Linked DNA regions of Caenorhabditis elegans. The protein of the gene in region 1 purifies or fractionates together with the protein of each later gene. This does not show direct contact. Each region holds a gene or a part of one and is shown on either strand. Other genes may lie near its edges.

Region 1 (9,755 bases):
TGTTTTATGCCGCTTGAGTATCAAACCTGCATTGTTTCACTAAATTCGATTGCACAATTCGAAAACATAGAGTTTTCCTGGCAGTCTGCAAGTCTTGCCAGTTCATAATATACTTCAGCTGAAAATGATTTACATAATTGTGTTTTAATAATTAGAAGTTACTCACATCCTTGTTCTTCTCCACAAAGATGATATGCCAGATGCCGATCAACTTCTTTCAAACATTTTTGATTTCCAAATACACTGTACCAAGTCTTGATTGGTGCATTTTCTTCCCATTTGTTCGATATTTGTACTGTTTCTGAAATAAACTATTAGCATCTCAGATCTAATTAGTTTTTTATTTTACTTTCTGTTTTCGATTCTAAATTTCCGCCTGATTTCATAGGACAATGACAAGATTTTGAAACCATCAACGGAAACAGTTTTGATAAATATACAGGCTTGGTTTGATTTGGGAAAAACGATAGTTCACAGACATCGGAATGTATTATTTCCTCTGTTATTCCCAGTATTCTTGATTTCAAATTTTCACGGTTAGTAGATTCATCAGCCCCCATGGTTTCTGTAATGTTCTGTAAGTAGCTATGACAGAAACTGTGTCCATTCTGTTGTGCGGTATAACGATGTCCTTTTGACAAGTTCGTGGGAATCAGTGCCTGAAAAATTTAAGAAAAATTATAAAAGTTCAGATGATGCTCACATTTATGCAATGCAACAACTGATCGTGGCAATCCGATTTAAGCGTCATCAAGCAATCTTCGTTATGTGAACCACATATGCTGAGAGCGGCTTGTTCTTTGGGGCAATAAGTTTTGAATTTTGTCAACTCATTGCTGGCGAAACCTTAAAAAAACACTTGAAATGTAATATTTTAAAACAAATAACCACGTCTCCTCGCGAGCGTAAATAAATAAATTAATTAACTACGTTTATTGATTTGTTGACAAAAACTGGAACTTACCAAATAAGATCAATAGAGAAGGATTCAGCATTGCTAATATGTGATTCGAAAGTCACAAAATCTGAAATATTGAAAATTATTAGAAATTTTAAAATATTTTATTGTTATTTTACTATTTTTATGTACTTCAGGCCGAGAACGAGAGGAGGTTTGATTAGAGCACACATGCAACGATGAGTCAATATCAAAAAAAAGTGCATTACTTTATGGCGTGATTTTGCAAAATGATACATCTGAAATTAGTGATGAGTCTTTTCTGAGAATTAAAACAAATAAAACACATCGAATCTTTGTTTAATATTAGTCTGTTAACATTGTCTCGCAAAAATATACTAATTATTCCACTCTGTCTTTGAAATTTCAGTAGTTTTTCTTAATTTGAAAAAGTTTCCATCTTGTTTTTAATTTCGCGTTTCAAAAATCATTTTTCCGTAATACTTATATACATATTTAATACAAACCCATCTAATAACAAATTCGTGATCAGGTTCCACTGTTCCAAAAGCAGTTCATAGAGTTGGGTTGATAAATATCTATTTCATCTATCATCGTAGCGCTGAAAATTAACAAATAAGTAAAAATATTAGATAAAATCAATATGCAAAGGAGTTTCGATGATTATTAGTATAAATTTGAATGACATGCTATCATGAAAACACTCCTGCCTATTCAAATTAGACTCTTATCACCGGTATGCTTAAACGTATTCACTGTGTATTTTTCAGAAATTTCAATCATAATGCTGGACATTAGGAATATTTCTTTCCATTTTATGTTCCGTGTGTTCTCATTAAAAATTAAGGAAAAAAATGAAGTAGTTTTTAAAACAATTTTCAGGCTAATTTTTGTAAATTACAATAATGTTTTAAAGTTTTGAGATTCTTCCAAATTAGATTTGAGGGCATTTTTTACTGATTTTTTACTTTAGCACACTTAAAGTGATTTACCACATTTTCCCAAACGACAATTCGCAACCTTTTCGGTATCTAAAAAGCGGCCCGTATTATTTGAAGACCTTAAACATTGTGGGGAATACCAAAGAACTAAAAATAACTACTGAAATATTCTCAAAAATTGCTTTGTGAACAAATTTGAGAACTCTGCAAAACATTAAACAGACAAATTATTATATGTTCAGTTTCAGAATTAAATATGCATTGAACTGTAAATTACATTCTTAATACTGTTTCTAGTTTTTTTTTTCTTGGTTATCACTTTCAGTATGAATGATCTAGTCCATAGTTGTCAAACTTTCAGCTGTTGTGTTTTTTTTTTGAAAATCAGTTTTTGTAACCTGAAATTGAAAAATCATTTCGGTTTGGAGAATATTTATTTGTACAAATAATGAACTGGCAACAACTTTCATAGTCTTATATGGTTTCAGATGATTGTGCCAAACGGACACAATTTATCTGGCTCCAACCGTGATTTATAGACAAATATTGTAAGAATAAGGAAACCGGATGTCATGCTTGAGTATGTTCGAGGTGTATTATGAGATTTCGGGTTTGATAAATGTAAGGTTCTAACAATTAAGTACAATAGTACAACAGTTTTGAAACAACAGAAAATAGAAGAAAAAGAAATAAAAGTCAATTAAAATTAAAAAATGAATATGAACATGTAAACAGTTTTTTGTAAAAAATAAGAGAAAAATCAAACTGGAGAAACGTTTCTTGGCAAGAAAAAAAATTATTGAACTATTAAAAAAGGTATTAGTTTTAGAAACTGTTCAAGGTTCGGGCAATTAAATTTACAATAACAATGTTCTCATAAAAAATCCTAATTATTGACAATTTTGATACTTTTTGATTTTTTCTGATATTATATTTGAGCCAACGTAATGATTTTCAAATTTCTCGATTTTCTTTTCCAAAAAAATTGCATAGTGCTTCAAATTAAGAAGTTCCTAAAGAAATCTAGGATGGTGAAATTTTTCATACAATCTATACTATTTATTTACTAACTTCACTTCTATTCCTACTGAAGATTCAAGAAAGTTTTCCCAGTTTGCTAAATAGTAACGTGATACAAAATTCATTGATCCGTAATTGCATTGAGATCATTTTCAACTCTCGGTTTTTCGAGAGATTACGCCAAGGATCTCAGATTTACAGGTTTTTCGTATTAGGAATGTCGGTAAATTAGGTGTAGTGTTTGAGTTCTTCTTGCTGTTCAGCTTGGTTGTTTAATATTTTTTCAACATTTTTTTCGTTGCTATTATTGAGATCCGTGTAGCTAGAACTTATTGAGTTGATGACAACCAATTGCTGATGAAGAGGAGAGTTATCAGCAGGAAGAAGTCTATTTCCATCACCTTGATGTGGTGGCTCACTGGGTCCGGAATTACGTTTGCAAGAACGTTTCTCAAATTTCATCTGGAAAAAAAGTAATTTCATTCATGAAACAAGTAATATTCTTACCAGGAAAACAGCTGTAATCAAAACAAAAAAAATAATTCCAATGACAATTGCACCAATTGCACCAATTGTTTGAATGAACCCAGTCTCGGCAACTTCAACAGTTGAAGAATATTTTTCCAACTTTGATGTTGCATTTGTATCCGGATACAGAACTTTGACAATATTTCTGATTGCATCTTCACAAGTATAATCCATCTCGTTAATATCATTCAGACAAGTTGACAAACGAGTTTGACAGTCTCTTCCAAAAAATTGAATGCAATATTCGAACATGAACCCACATGAAGCAACAACACCTGCAGATCCTGTTTAGATAGTTTTTTGAAAAAATTTTTTTTTAAATTTTTGGTAACTTACTTTTCGATGCGCCACATTCCGAAGAAACACTATCAAAGTAGTCAAGAAGGCGAAGAGGCAATTTTTCAGATGCTTCCAAAACAAGAAAATCATTTTTTGTATCTGAAAACATATAATTTAAGTTGAACTAAAACCAAGAAACACACCTCTTCTAGTCATCGATCCATCAACAAATGATGTAAATCCCTCATTGAATCGACCCCTTATACTTGTAGTCGAAGAAACTTTGTCTGAAAAATTAAGTGGAAAAATACCCCTTTGACATTTGGCGCTCTGTTCTTGCCCACGTTTCGCCCAAAAATGTAAACTTGAATCAAAAGAAATTAACTTGGGTGAGAGTTTGGCAAAAGTTGGATCAACGTTGCGTTAAACTCGGGCGCAGCGTAAACTATGTATTGTCTTTTTATCGAAACTAAACATTTTTTGAGAGAAACTTGGACGGGATGACGAGAGATTTGTTTAAAAATTTAATTTTAAAAAAATCCATTTTAAAATTATCTGAATCTTGATAAACTCATATTAAAATTCTTACGATGTTCTGCAGCTTCCTTATAGAAATCCTCAGCTCTCAGTGATTTTAAGTTTTCATTAAAATCAACGAACATCTTGCAAACCAGTTTTTTTGAATCCATTGTTCCCAGTGTCATCTGAAAATTGGATAGCTTTGAAAATAATAATTAATTCTGTTTCTTTAAAACCAACAAAATAATTTTTAAAATTACATAGTTTCCTTCGCTGTATGCTTCATCACAGTCCTTTTGATCTTTTTGTTGGTCGTAGCAGTTGACACGTACAACACTATGATGATTGAAATCCACTAAAAATTAACAAGTTTCATAAAATTCTTAAAGAGTAAAAAAGTACTTACAAGACGCTTTATCACAAGTTTCATACGCCAATGACCTCATGATCACTTTTCCTATTGGTCCAAATTCAGTTCCAATGTACCAGAATGGATATGGTATGTGCAGTCGTTGGGCATTCATACTGTCTACTGAAAATCGGTCATTTTCTCTTAAAGTTAAATTTTCCAATAGTGAATCTAATAGGAATTTATAAAATGTTCATATCTATCGAGAATGATATTGAAGGTAGATTAGCCAAATCTGGGTTATTGCTTTAATACACGAACTGTCCGTAAAATTTCTTCTGTATGGACAAGTGTGCAAAATTTGAGATTTGTGTTGAAAATAGCCTTTTTTAACTTCGTGTCTCCAAAAAATACTTTTGAGAAAATTTTAAGAATTATTGCTATTAAAAGACTTGTTCACCGTTTTAATACGGTAACTACAAAAGTACAGAAAGTATATTTGACCTCAAAAAACCCACGTTTAACCAGAGTTTCTTGGAATGACGTCTTCGAATTTTGGCATGTTGTAGAGTTGAGCATTTGAGACTCGAGATTACGAAGAATTAAGTACTTCTGAACATTATTTAGATAATTTTCAATTATTAAAGGAAAAACTAACAAGAGTCAAGTTCAAAAGTGGATTCTGAGTGTCAAGTTGGCTGACAGCTTGATGTAGTTTTTCTTCCATTTCTGACACCACGCCACAATTTTTTAACAGACTAGAAAACGCATCTGAGAGTTTCATAAAAATTGCTTCTAGTTTATTCACAACTGTTTTCGTTCGATTTTCGGCGATCGTCTTTCGGTATACTTCTCCTTTCGTTCGCACCGACTGACAAGAGTCTCCAAAATGTTTCTGGCAAGTTTCGGTAGCTTCACTGACGTGTATACAAGTGCAGTAATCCAATTTGCAGTCCTCAACAGATCTCAATTGTCCAAAGCAATCCTCGTATTTTGGTACACAGAAATCAATTCGTTTCGAAAGATATGGACATTCATTTCGGAATCCTCCTCGGGATAAACTAGCTGGATAGAGAGCATTTGGGTATTTGATGGTGTTGATGGAAACTATAAAGAAGTTTGAGTGAATTCGTTCTTGGATTTCGCTGCTCTTCTAAATTTATCTTTAAAAGCAACAAAATTTCCCTCATTATCATTTTTCAGTTCATTTTTAATGCTACTAGTTGTAATCCGCTAACAGTCTTGAGTTCTGAAAACAATTGACAGTTCGTTCGTTCAAAATGTATCTGACAAGATATTATGGCTAACCATATTATTATTTACTCTAAAATATGTATTATTATTTATCTCCGAAATTTTTTTTAACAATTTAACTTACTGGCTGTGGTGGCACTTATCGCCAGAAGTGTAAGGAAGGCCAATTCCAGAACCATGATGGCACGCACATAAAAAGTGGACCCGGCGATGCTTTAAAGATGTTCCACTATCCAATAATGCGACTGAAAATCAATGTCGATATGAAAACGAGAATATGATAGATAGAGACGGTGAATGACGTGATTGTTTGCGAACGAACAGTGCAAACCAAAGTCACGGGTTTTAAGAAAAATTACTAAATTCAATTTGCAAGCAGGAAACATCAATTAAAGAACAATGTAACTTTGACAGAGTAACTATGGAAAAGAAACAAAACATAAAAAGCGCCTGCCAAGGCGGGAAAATGAAGAGTTTATCGGAAACAAACATATGGTTCCGTAAGAGAAAGAGCGAGAGAATGAGAGATAGAGAAAAACGATTTGAAATTGAGTGACCGTTTGAATTTTTAATAAAGTATTTGTTAGAAAATTAATGTAATTAAATGATTTCGATAGTGCGTATAAAATTAGATAGAGTTTTGTTGAACAAGCCTGATGCGAGTCCAAGATTTAGACTGCTCTGCAAACATTATATGAGAGGGCTAGACACGGAGTAAGATGAAGAGAGTTTAAAGAAAAAATGTGATGGGCGTCGCTCATAACTGTTGTAGTATGGTTTCTACTTATTGGCTAATATTTATGGACCATTTGAAACAGATATTAACAAATACTCACTTAAAAATAAATACGGAAAAAAGTACTACGAAATTACGTAAAATTGCGAAATTGATCGGGAACCGGAAAACAAAAATAAGGTATGAGATTGTGAGATAAGCTGCATCAAAAGAAAAAAGAGATCCCAGAAAAAAAAAGTTCTGTAAAAATGAGTTTCAATTACCGGTAAAAAGTATCGAAACAACTAAAAATAAAATTGTGCGCATTTGTTGCGGCTTTTGGACATTTCACATATCTATGTGGTAGAATGTCCTTGATAAAATACTTTTGATTTTACATGAAATGGGCGGGATTTGAAAGTCCTCGGTATGACGTGTTCATTAGAATGGCATAGGACAATTCATGATAGAATAACAATATCAGGATTTTGTTGTAAGTTCATCTTCAAAAATTATTCAGAAAATCCGAATGAATTATCCTCTAACCTTGAATAATCAACTAAAAATTAGCAACGTCGGGAAAATTTCTCGATAAGTTCAGTCGGTAAAGAATAAATTTGGATTTTTGTAATTTTGCCAATGTTCAAAAAAAAGCTAACAAAAATTCTTAATCGTAAATACACAATTACCAATAGTTCTCGCAAAAATGTATCTAGGGAATGTAGTTGGAAATGACATTAAGATCTGATTTTTCTAATTTAGTTAGGCATAGTTATGGTCTCTCTAATCATCGATATATATGTAGGTAGGGTTCACAATAGTAAGACTAATAGCAGCATTTAAGTATATTTTCCATTTTGAAAACATGTTAGTGTTATCCTTATAAACATAATAAGTACAAATAGAAAAAGGAAGGAAGAGGAAAATGAGTATGATAGAAGTAAGAAACTCAATAATGAGTCTGCAAACACTTGTTCAAGGTGCTTGATTTTTGAACAAGCCAGTTCAAAATGATGGGATACCGGGCGAACACTTCAAACTACGCGACTTTTTATATATATTTTCCAGTGATTAATCTATTTGTTTTAGAGTTACTTTGAAATGTATATAGGTGCTTCTTCGGATGAAAAGTTACGTGTAACAAATTTAATTAACACTTAGTCATAGCACATCCTAGCACATAGTAAAACATTTTGTGAAAACGAGTTGCTTTTCATTATCACAAACGTTTTTGTTTATGAAATTTATAAAGCTGTACAAGTATATTTTTCGCGAAATGAATAGTTTTTGCACTGAATGCTGATTTGAAAAATCCTTACAGAAATTAAGAAATTATATGATAATGAGGTAAAAACTCTCGAAAAACAATAAAGATCCACTCACTGTAATTTTAAAAATTTTTAACACATGCATACATATAAAACTAATATCGGAAAAAAAGAAAAATACACCATTCAAAGTTGAATAAAAAGCGATCCATCAAGGACATGTTTGAGTGAATAAATGTCAAGTTAACTGAAAATGGAGGCGATCGAGTTCAACATCAACTAGTCGACAATGCAACGTTGATTTGGCTCCACATTGGATTAACCTAATATCCGTTGTTTTTTTCAAATTGAGGCGGTGAAAAACAATAATGGAGGCAGAGAGATGTTAGAGATATTTTCGAAAAATAATTAAAACAACTATAAAATGTCCCAAAGCTGTAGTTTTGTCATAACTTTGTATTTGACTTTGAATGAAATAAATAAACCAGGAGAAAATCGAGAAGAAACTCATTAAAACGAGAGAGATTTCGCAATGACACATAGGTCATTAATCAAGCATGGCGATCGTCAATGCCGTTGAATCTTGTTTCTTTGAGTTTTTTTCGCAACTTTCAGAAAAATTTTGTTTGTCTATAGATATAAAGTAATAAAAAATCAACTAGAAATGACAATTTTAAAGAATAAGAAAATTATGATTTTATATCAGTTTACAGTTTAGGGAAACATGAAGTGCAATGAACATGTGTTATTGCCAAAAAATAGCGAGATAGTGCAATCCTGAAAGAAAAATATGAAAAGTATTACCGTTTCAGAAAATTTTAGTTTTTTCACAGCAGTGACTCCAATGATGTTACAAACACGGCCGATTGTATTGATGATCATCCTATCGGAGCAAAAATTTCGCTAATTTTTGTTTGTTCGACACAACCACTACCATATGTCTTCGCCTTATCAAAGGTCAAATGCTGTTAAGAGTCATCATTTTAATTAAAGATAAAAATAATAGACAGCGCAAAGAAAAATACAGGTATGTTGTTGACTAGAAAAATTGAAACGTTCTAGCGCAAAAACCGTGACTGGGCCAGTGGTTTTAAACATTGAATTTGTCAATTTCTTTGCAATCAAAGCTTGGTAAAACTTCACTAACTCCAAAATTTCTTTCGAGTTGTGCTTGTAGTTTATCGATTTATAAGCTTTGATTTTTTGTTTAAAAGTTAGTCTTGACGTCCGACTGCAAATAACGAACTTCTTATTTTGCGATAGCGTTTTTTTTTATTGCATCCGCCGATTTGAAAATCAAAGAACAATGTTAATATTTATTTTAACCGTTTTTTTAACAGAAATCAGCTATTGAAAGAAATCAGCTACAGAAAAAAATCAGTTTGAAGAAATAATTCCGACAACTATTTTAATTATGGCGATAACGAGTCCGCCAATGGGAGTTTTTCCAAATGACTTTTATACTTGAATTCCCGATTCTGGTGGCGTCTTTTGCAGATTGAATAAATAATCAGAATCATTCCAAAAATAATTATACCAATAAGAATCCACAATTGTTGCTGCACCATGGCCATGAAACTGTCGTTTGCTTTTTCAGTGATTTTAATACTACTCATTGCCTCAAAGTTTGCAACCCATTGGTGATACGGAAGGCATTCATTTGCGATTGATCCATATCCATTGTTGATAGCACCCTGAAAAATTTTTTTTTAATAGAAAATATATATAAAATAATTTTTATTTAGCATCTGTCAAGAAATATTATTTTTGAGCAAAGTAATTAAACTGCTCACCGAGTTACAGTTATCCCACTCTTTGAAGCATTTTGTATCATCCCCAAAATTTTCTTTGCATTTGTCATATACTTTGCAGCAAGTGTTGTAGGCTTCTAAAAATATTTTGCAACAAATTACACAAATAAAACAGAATTTCAGAAATATATGCCAAACGGCGCATAAAAGCG
Region 2 (5,868 bases), on another chromosome or scaffold:
TTCAGAAAAACATCCGAGAAGAAGTTATTAAACCAGCAGTCAAAACTTACACTGCCTACTTGAAAGCGATTCTCGAGAAAAGTTCATCAGGATATCTTGTTGGAAATGAATTAACATGGGCAGATTTAGTGATTGCTGATAATTTGACAACGTTGATTAATGCCGAGTTGTTGGATATTGAAAACGATAAACTTTTAAAAGAATTTCGTGAAAAAATAATCGAGACTCCGAAATTGAAGGAATGGTTGGCAAAACGTCCTGAGACAAGATTTTGATGAAGTCATTTTGTTATATATGATGTCCCAAACGCTTATTACATATTAATAAAACAATATGTTCGTGTTTCCATTTTTCCAGCTTCATAATTTTTATATTTCTAGCAAAAATCAAAATAAATAAATAAATAAGTTGCAAAAAATGGAATAAAAGGAATAAAACAAATATTGTTCAAATGTACAAAATATTGTTATTTATTTTCGAATTATCGTTGGAAATGAAAAACAAGTAAGAAAACAGTGATACTCCGCATGATAACATTCATGGCGTCATATTGAAAAACAACTTTCACATCGACGTATTTGCAGACACAATTATTTTAATAAAATAATAAATTTATAGAATCTAAACATTTTCATCACTGCTTTCATTAACATCATCTTCCTCTTCGTGAACTGTTGACAAATTTCTGTCGAATTTTCGAGTCTTCCGTTGAACAGGAGATGATTCTACGATTTTCTCTAAAATTTAAATTTTTATTTCCTAGAAACATAAACCAGTTTTAGTTTGAAACAAATTAAAAAATATCGGTTTAATACTTCCGTGGTGTTGGTCATTTTGTTGATATTTGTCGTTTTGCAGCAAGTGCTCCAAAGATTGCTACATTACAAAAAATTTTTCCGTATTTCTTCTATTAGAAAATTGCTAATTTTAGGAGGCATTTTTAGGATAATACAGAAATAGGGTAGGTAGGCAGGTACCTAGGCTGAGTAGACGGAAAAGCGTAATACTAATTTTTGGACAATTGTTATGTGCTTGAGGTTGCTTGTTTTCATTAACAAGAGTTGAAACATTGAATAGAAATTTAGAATTATTGATGCTAATTGTAAGTACAATAGTTTGATTATATGATGCTAATATATGTAATTGAAAGAAAATTTTTATTTCGGTCAAAACGTCACGCTTACTCTGTTTCTCTCACATAATTTTAGAATTCGAACAAAATAATTTTTTTTTTCACGATATGCCCAACATTTCTCAAAACTCTGAAAAAATGGACAACTTGCCAAACGCTTGATCGATTTTTGTCCTATTTTTTAATACATTTAAATAAACTTCCTAATGGTGCTTTTCAGCTTTCGAATCCTTAAATTGTGAGTTCAAAAAAAAACGGTATTTAAATAAATGTCATAAGTTTGGATGAATGAGTAAAAAATTACCATCAGCATGTGATTCAGCATATCCACTATAATTTCTGACTTGTACCAACTTCTTTGTGATTGAATTAGATTTTTTGAGGCATTCTGAGTTTGATGAGGATATCTTCTGATTCTCCACAGTCTCATCATCATCATCCGCCCATTGAACTTTTCGAGCTCGTGTCATTTTTTATTTGATTGCTAAAAAATTAGAGAAAATATTTATAAATTTTGGAAATTGTAATAGAGAAGTTTAAAAAAGGATATGATACATGCATAAATGTTTTGAAATGATCAAGAATGAATGGAAAACGTGCGGTTTTATAGTCAAACATGAGGGAACTCATTTTGAAAACTGAGAATAATGAAAACAAATATGACTGATAATAGAAGGCGGATTCTATTTTTGAATTCATACATCAAAATTCGAAATACAACAGTTTGTCTGAAAATGACCCGAAAACCATAGGAAGTGACCAAATACAGATCGAATGACAACAGATAGACTAGTTATTTCAGAGAAATTGAAATGGCATGGACATGAACAACGTTTGATTTTTTGAAGAGAAAAATGGATTATGTTATGCAAATCAGACAACGACTTTCAGAGAATTTGGGACAGTGATCAACGAATCGAAAGGTCTCGAGTACCGAAAAAAAGATATGTCAAATGACGGTTAAACGACGTCATCTAAACAAGTATGACTATGAAATCAGTGAAAATTCTAGAATTACAAATCAAATAATCATGTGCCTATTTTAAGTCCAACTGAGCACAGTCTAGCACATTTTAATATCAGTTGTTTGTTTCAAATGAAAAATGTTTAAAATAAATTTCAGGCTTTCCAAATAGAACCAAGACCGCTTTTATGTCTGTCTTAAATGCGAGCCTCTTCTTGTGTAGAAACGTTTGCAACTTTATAATAAATGATTACTATAAACTAAAAATGTTAAACTTGTAAAGAGTTTCAGCTGTGCCACGTAAATCTATAACTTACAAATACCAAAATGTGGACAGATAGGAGATAGGTAAGCACATTGACAGGCAGGCACGTACGCTTTGAGGGACCTTATGAAAACCATTTAATTTAAAATTGGCAATTACGTTTTAAAATGTTAAATTTTTCATTCTTGCCCAAGTTTTTTTCGTTTTCTTTTGAGGTATCTTTTAAATTTTACCCTATTTTGGGTATTTTAATACGAAATTCCTTTTGACGCTAGATCCCCTTTACAAATAGAAAGCAAAAACAAAATCTTTAAATCGAGTGCTTTCAACACAAAAAATTTCGAAAATAGTCCGTTGTTGTGGACATTTCCAATGGGAACATTGTTTTGATATTCTTTGGTGTAACTTCCAGTTTTCAATTTACCCAAAACATTTTATAAGTTGCATACATAAATTATTTAAATTGAACACAATCATAGCACGGATTGTTTTTAATTTCATCTAGTTTATTCCCAAAAAGAATTTGCGGAAGTTATACCTGTTGTTTTTTAATTACAAATAAGTATAGCTAACTTAAGATTTGATTTATATGATTGTTCTAAATATACATAACTGTTCTAAATCAATTTGATCAGAATAAAATATTAACTTCAAACCAAAGGAAAATAAAGAAAAAATTTTCTGCAGAGAATTGAATGAACCGTCATGAAAATGGAAAAAAAGTTTATATTTTCCGTTGCTTGACGCCCCCATAACTGCCAGGGCAAATGACAAAACCAATTCGAATGGGAAAATATTGAATGGAATATGAAGAAAATATATGATAGAAAGATGTGATACATTTATGAATTGAATGTACGTTCGAACTGTCAATATTTGAGTGGGAGAAGCTATATGACGTCAGTTTTTCATGAAGAATATGGCAATTGGAAAACTCACGGCCGACACATCGGCAAGGCTTGAAACATATTTACTCTAATAAAATAATGAGAAAAATAACCAAGAATGGTTGGTACTAGATCTCTACAATTTTTCCAGCATTTTGAGTTTATTGTTGTCAAAATGTCAAAATGTCAAAATGAAGATCAAAATGACCACGGAAGGAAATTGTAAGAAACATTGTACAAAACAAAATTCATAACTTGATTATTACCGATGGAGTTTTAAATTTTTGTATATTGTTAAAATGCACGTACTGGTTTTCATTATTTTGGTACAAAAATTCAGGTTTTTCAACAGAACATTTTTGTCAAGCCTATAGGCTTGACAGAAATATTCATTATAGGGAAGACGAATAAAAAAAAAACTTTTCCTTTTTTTAACTTAAAAAAAATTATCACCAAAATTAATTTCAAAAATAAACTTTGTCATGCTTATCACCACGTGAAATCTGACTTCCCATTTAAAATGAAAAAAAAATCAAAAACTCTCTCATAACGAGATTCATACAACGAAAGATCGTCGAGATCAATTCATTTCTCGATTCTTTTCTAACGTACGATGAGTTCCTTAGCAGAGATTCATGGCTTGGCCCAACTATTGGTATTGGTTTTTACTCTCGTCGGTGAGTTGGATAATTTTTAAAAAAGCTGTGTGCAAATATATCTGCTTTAAAAAGTCGCTAATAGTAATATTTTGCGTGAATTTGAAATCAGGATTTTTTCGCTGAAAAATTACAACAGTCGAACGGAGCTTTACAATTCAATTTTTCAGTTACTGCCCATCTCTGTGGCAAGAAGGGCGCAAAGAACAAAAAGAAGGAGGACAAGACAAAAGCAATGTCGGCTATCAAAACCACCACAATGGGTTCTACTACAGCCAACATGCATCCAGCAGAGCCTGTAGTGGAGAAAAAAGAGGAACCAAAGGAGAAAGTTCCAGAGAAAAAGGAGGAGGAAAAGAAGGACGCCACAAAGAAGGAGGAAGCTAAAGAGGAGAAGAAGGAAGAGGAAAGGAAGGAGGAAAAGAAGGAAGAGTCGAAGGAAGGGGAGAAGAAGAATTCAGGTGAAGAGAAGAAAAATAGTGGAGATGAGAAGAAGGAGGAAGGAGGAAAGAAGGATGATGCTAAGGATGGGGAGAAAAAGGAAGAAGCTAAGGAAGGAGATAAGAAGGATGAGGATCAGAAGCCAAAGAAGGAGATTGTGCCAGAAGTCTTCAAAAGAACTTCTAAAGAAAAAGCGATTGCTGATGGTGTCAAGAAGAAGAAGACGGACTATCCAACTATGGAGGACGTTCCAAGTGATTGGGAGAGTGAGAAGAAAAAGAAGAAGAAGACTGAGGCAGATGATAAGGAATAATTCATTGGAAAAGCATCCTCTTTCTTTTTTGTATATTGTAAAATTATGTATTCTCGTCCTCCATAGCTTGAGGCTTTAGTAATCATGATGACTTTTAATTAATGTTGATTAATTCAAGAAGATGTGAAAAATTTGATTTAACTCTTCGCTGATGGCTCATCCAGTTTGACTCAAAAATTTGACATTGACCGATTAATAGGGCACACAATCCTGAAACTGGTTCCAAACTAATTTTTTGCAAGTATTTAATAATTTCTTTTCAGTCAGTGTCTAATATTTGTTAGCTGACATTTTTTGAAATTATAGTGAAAAAATGGCAATTATTCAGTTCTCAACAATAATAATTGTATAAATCAACCTTAAAAAGTTTTCCAATTCTCATTTGTATTTAGTACTAGTACAGTATTTCAACATTATATAGTATTTCAAATCTGCATTAACACTCAAAGATTGTCAAAATGTTTAAATTCAACTGGAAATCTTGAAAATCTACAAGTTTTTGGGAGGTTATTGAGGCAATTTGTTTGTAGTCTTCAATTAAAGTTCTTCTCGGGGAGTACATGACACATTATCGATAGAGCACGTTTCGAACTTATTTTTTATTTCCACAATCCCCAATAACACGAATAGTTTAAAGATGGTATTGAAAGAAAAGTTTTCGAATTTTTTTTAGTTTTGAATTTTGAGAAGTTTTCATGAAGTTTCATTATGAAATTCGGTGTTTTCAGACAATTTTGAGTCTAATAAAGCAATAATAAAAATTTCCATATCAATTCTACCAAAAGGGCACAATTTTTGTTTTTGTTTCAACTTACAGATTTCTTGTTTCATTCTGTAAAAATTCGTTTTTACAGAATGAAACAACAAGAATAAAAAATCTGTTGAACTAAAAATAGAATTACTGTTTCTGAACGTTGTTATTTTTTACCGTCTCAGAAAACGACCGATCAGTCATTACTGTCAAGTATTTCAGAACTCCATCTCTATAAAATCATAAACTGGTTGGTGTAGATAATCGAGTGATTTGAGACTAATTTTTTCAAAATTGGATTCTTCTGGATTCAACAATGCTGTTCCTATTTGTAGATCAAAGATTGTTGGTACTTTGTTTGAAAATGGTATAGGAGGATATGGTTGATAAGAATACAAATGAGTTGACATTGGAAAACCAGCTGGCAGAAAATTCAAATTTCTTATTTCTTAATTTGAA

The links.
Region 2: the proteins of C44H9.5 (region 1) and K08F4.5 fractionate together in Caenorhabditis elegans (co-fractionation; one large-scale study listed by BioGRID). This does not show direct contact.

The regions. Positions count from the first base shown.
Region 1 is NC_003283.11:12,843,811-12,853,565, forward strand, and holds C44H9.5 (uncharacterized protein), read right to left. Parts: upstream 6,055-9,755; 5' UTR 5,989-6,054; coding exon 5,934-5,988; intron 5,663-5,933; coding exon 5,214-5,662; intron 5,168-5,213; coding exon 5,074-5,167; intron 4,739-5,073; coding exon 4,613-4,738; intron 4,562-4,612; coding exon 4,467-4,561; intron 4,392-4,466; coding exon 4,277-4,391; intron 3,975-4,276; coding exon 3,891-3,974; intron 3,847-3,890; coding exon 3,745-3,846; intron 3,693-3,744; coding exon 3,388-3,692; intron 3,343-3,387; coding exon 3,109-3,342; 3' UTR 2,281-3,108; downstream 1-2,280. Other genes in the region: C44H9.6 (DUF19 domain-containing protein), read right to left, coding at 27-118, 167-301, 350-659, 704-846, 965-995; C44H9.7 (uncharacterized protein), read right to left, coding at 9,205-9,486, 9,586-9,680.
Region 2 is NC_003282.8:10,133,858-10,139,725, reverse strand, and holds K08F4.5 (uncharacterized protein), read left to right. Parts: upstream 1-3,808; 5' UTR 3,809-3,861; coding exon 3,862-3,925; intron 3,926-4,074; coding exon 4,075-4,658; 3' UTR 4,659-4,794; downstream 4,795-5,868. Other genes in the region: gst-3 (Glutathione S-transferase 3), read left to right, coding at 6-275; K08F4.12 (Ovule protein), read right to left, coding at 622-737, 1,437-1,602.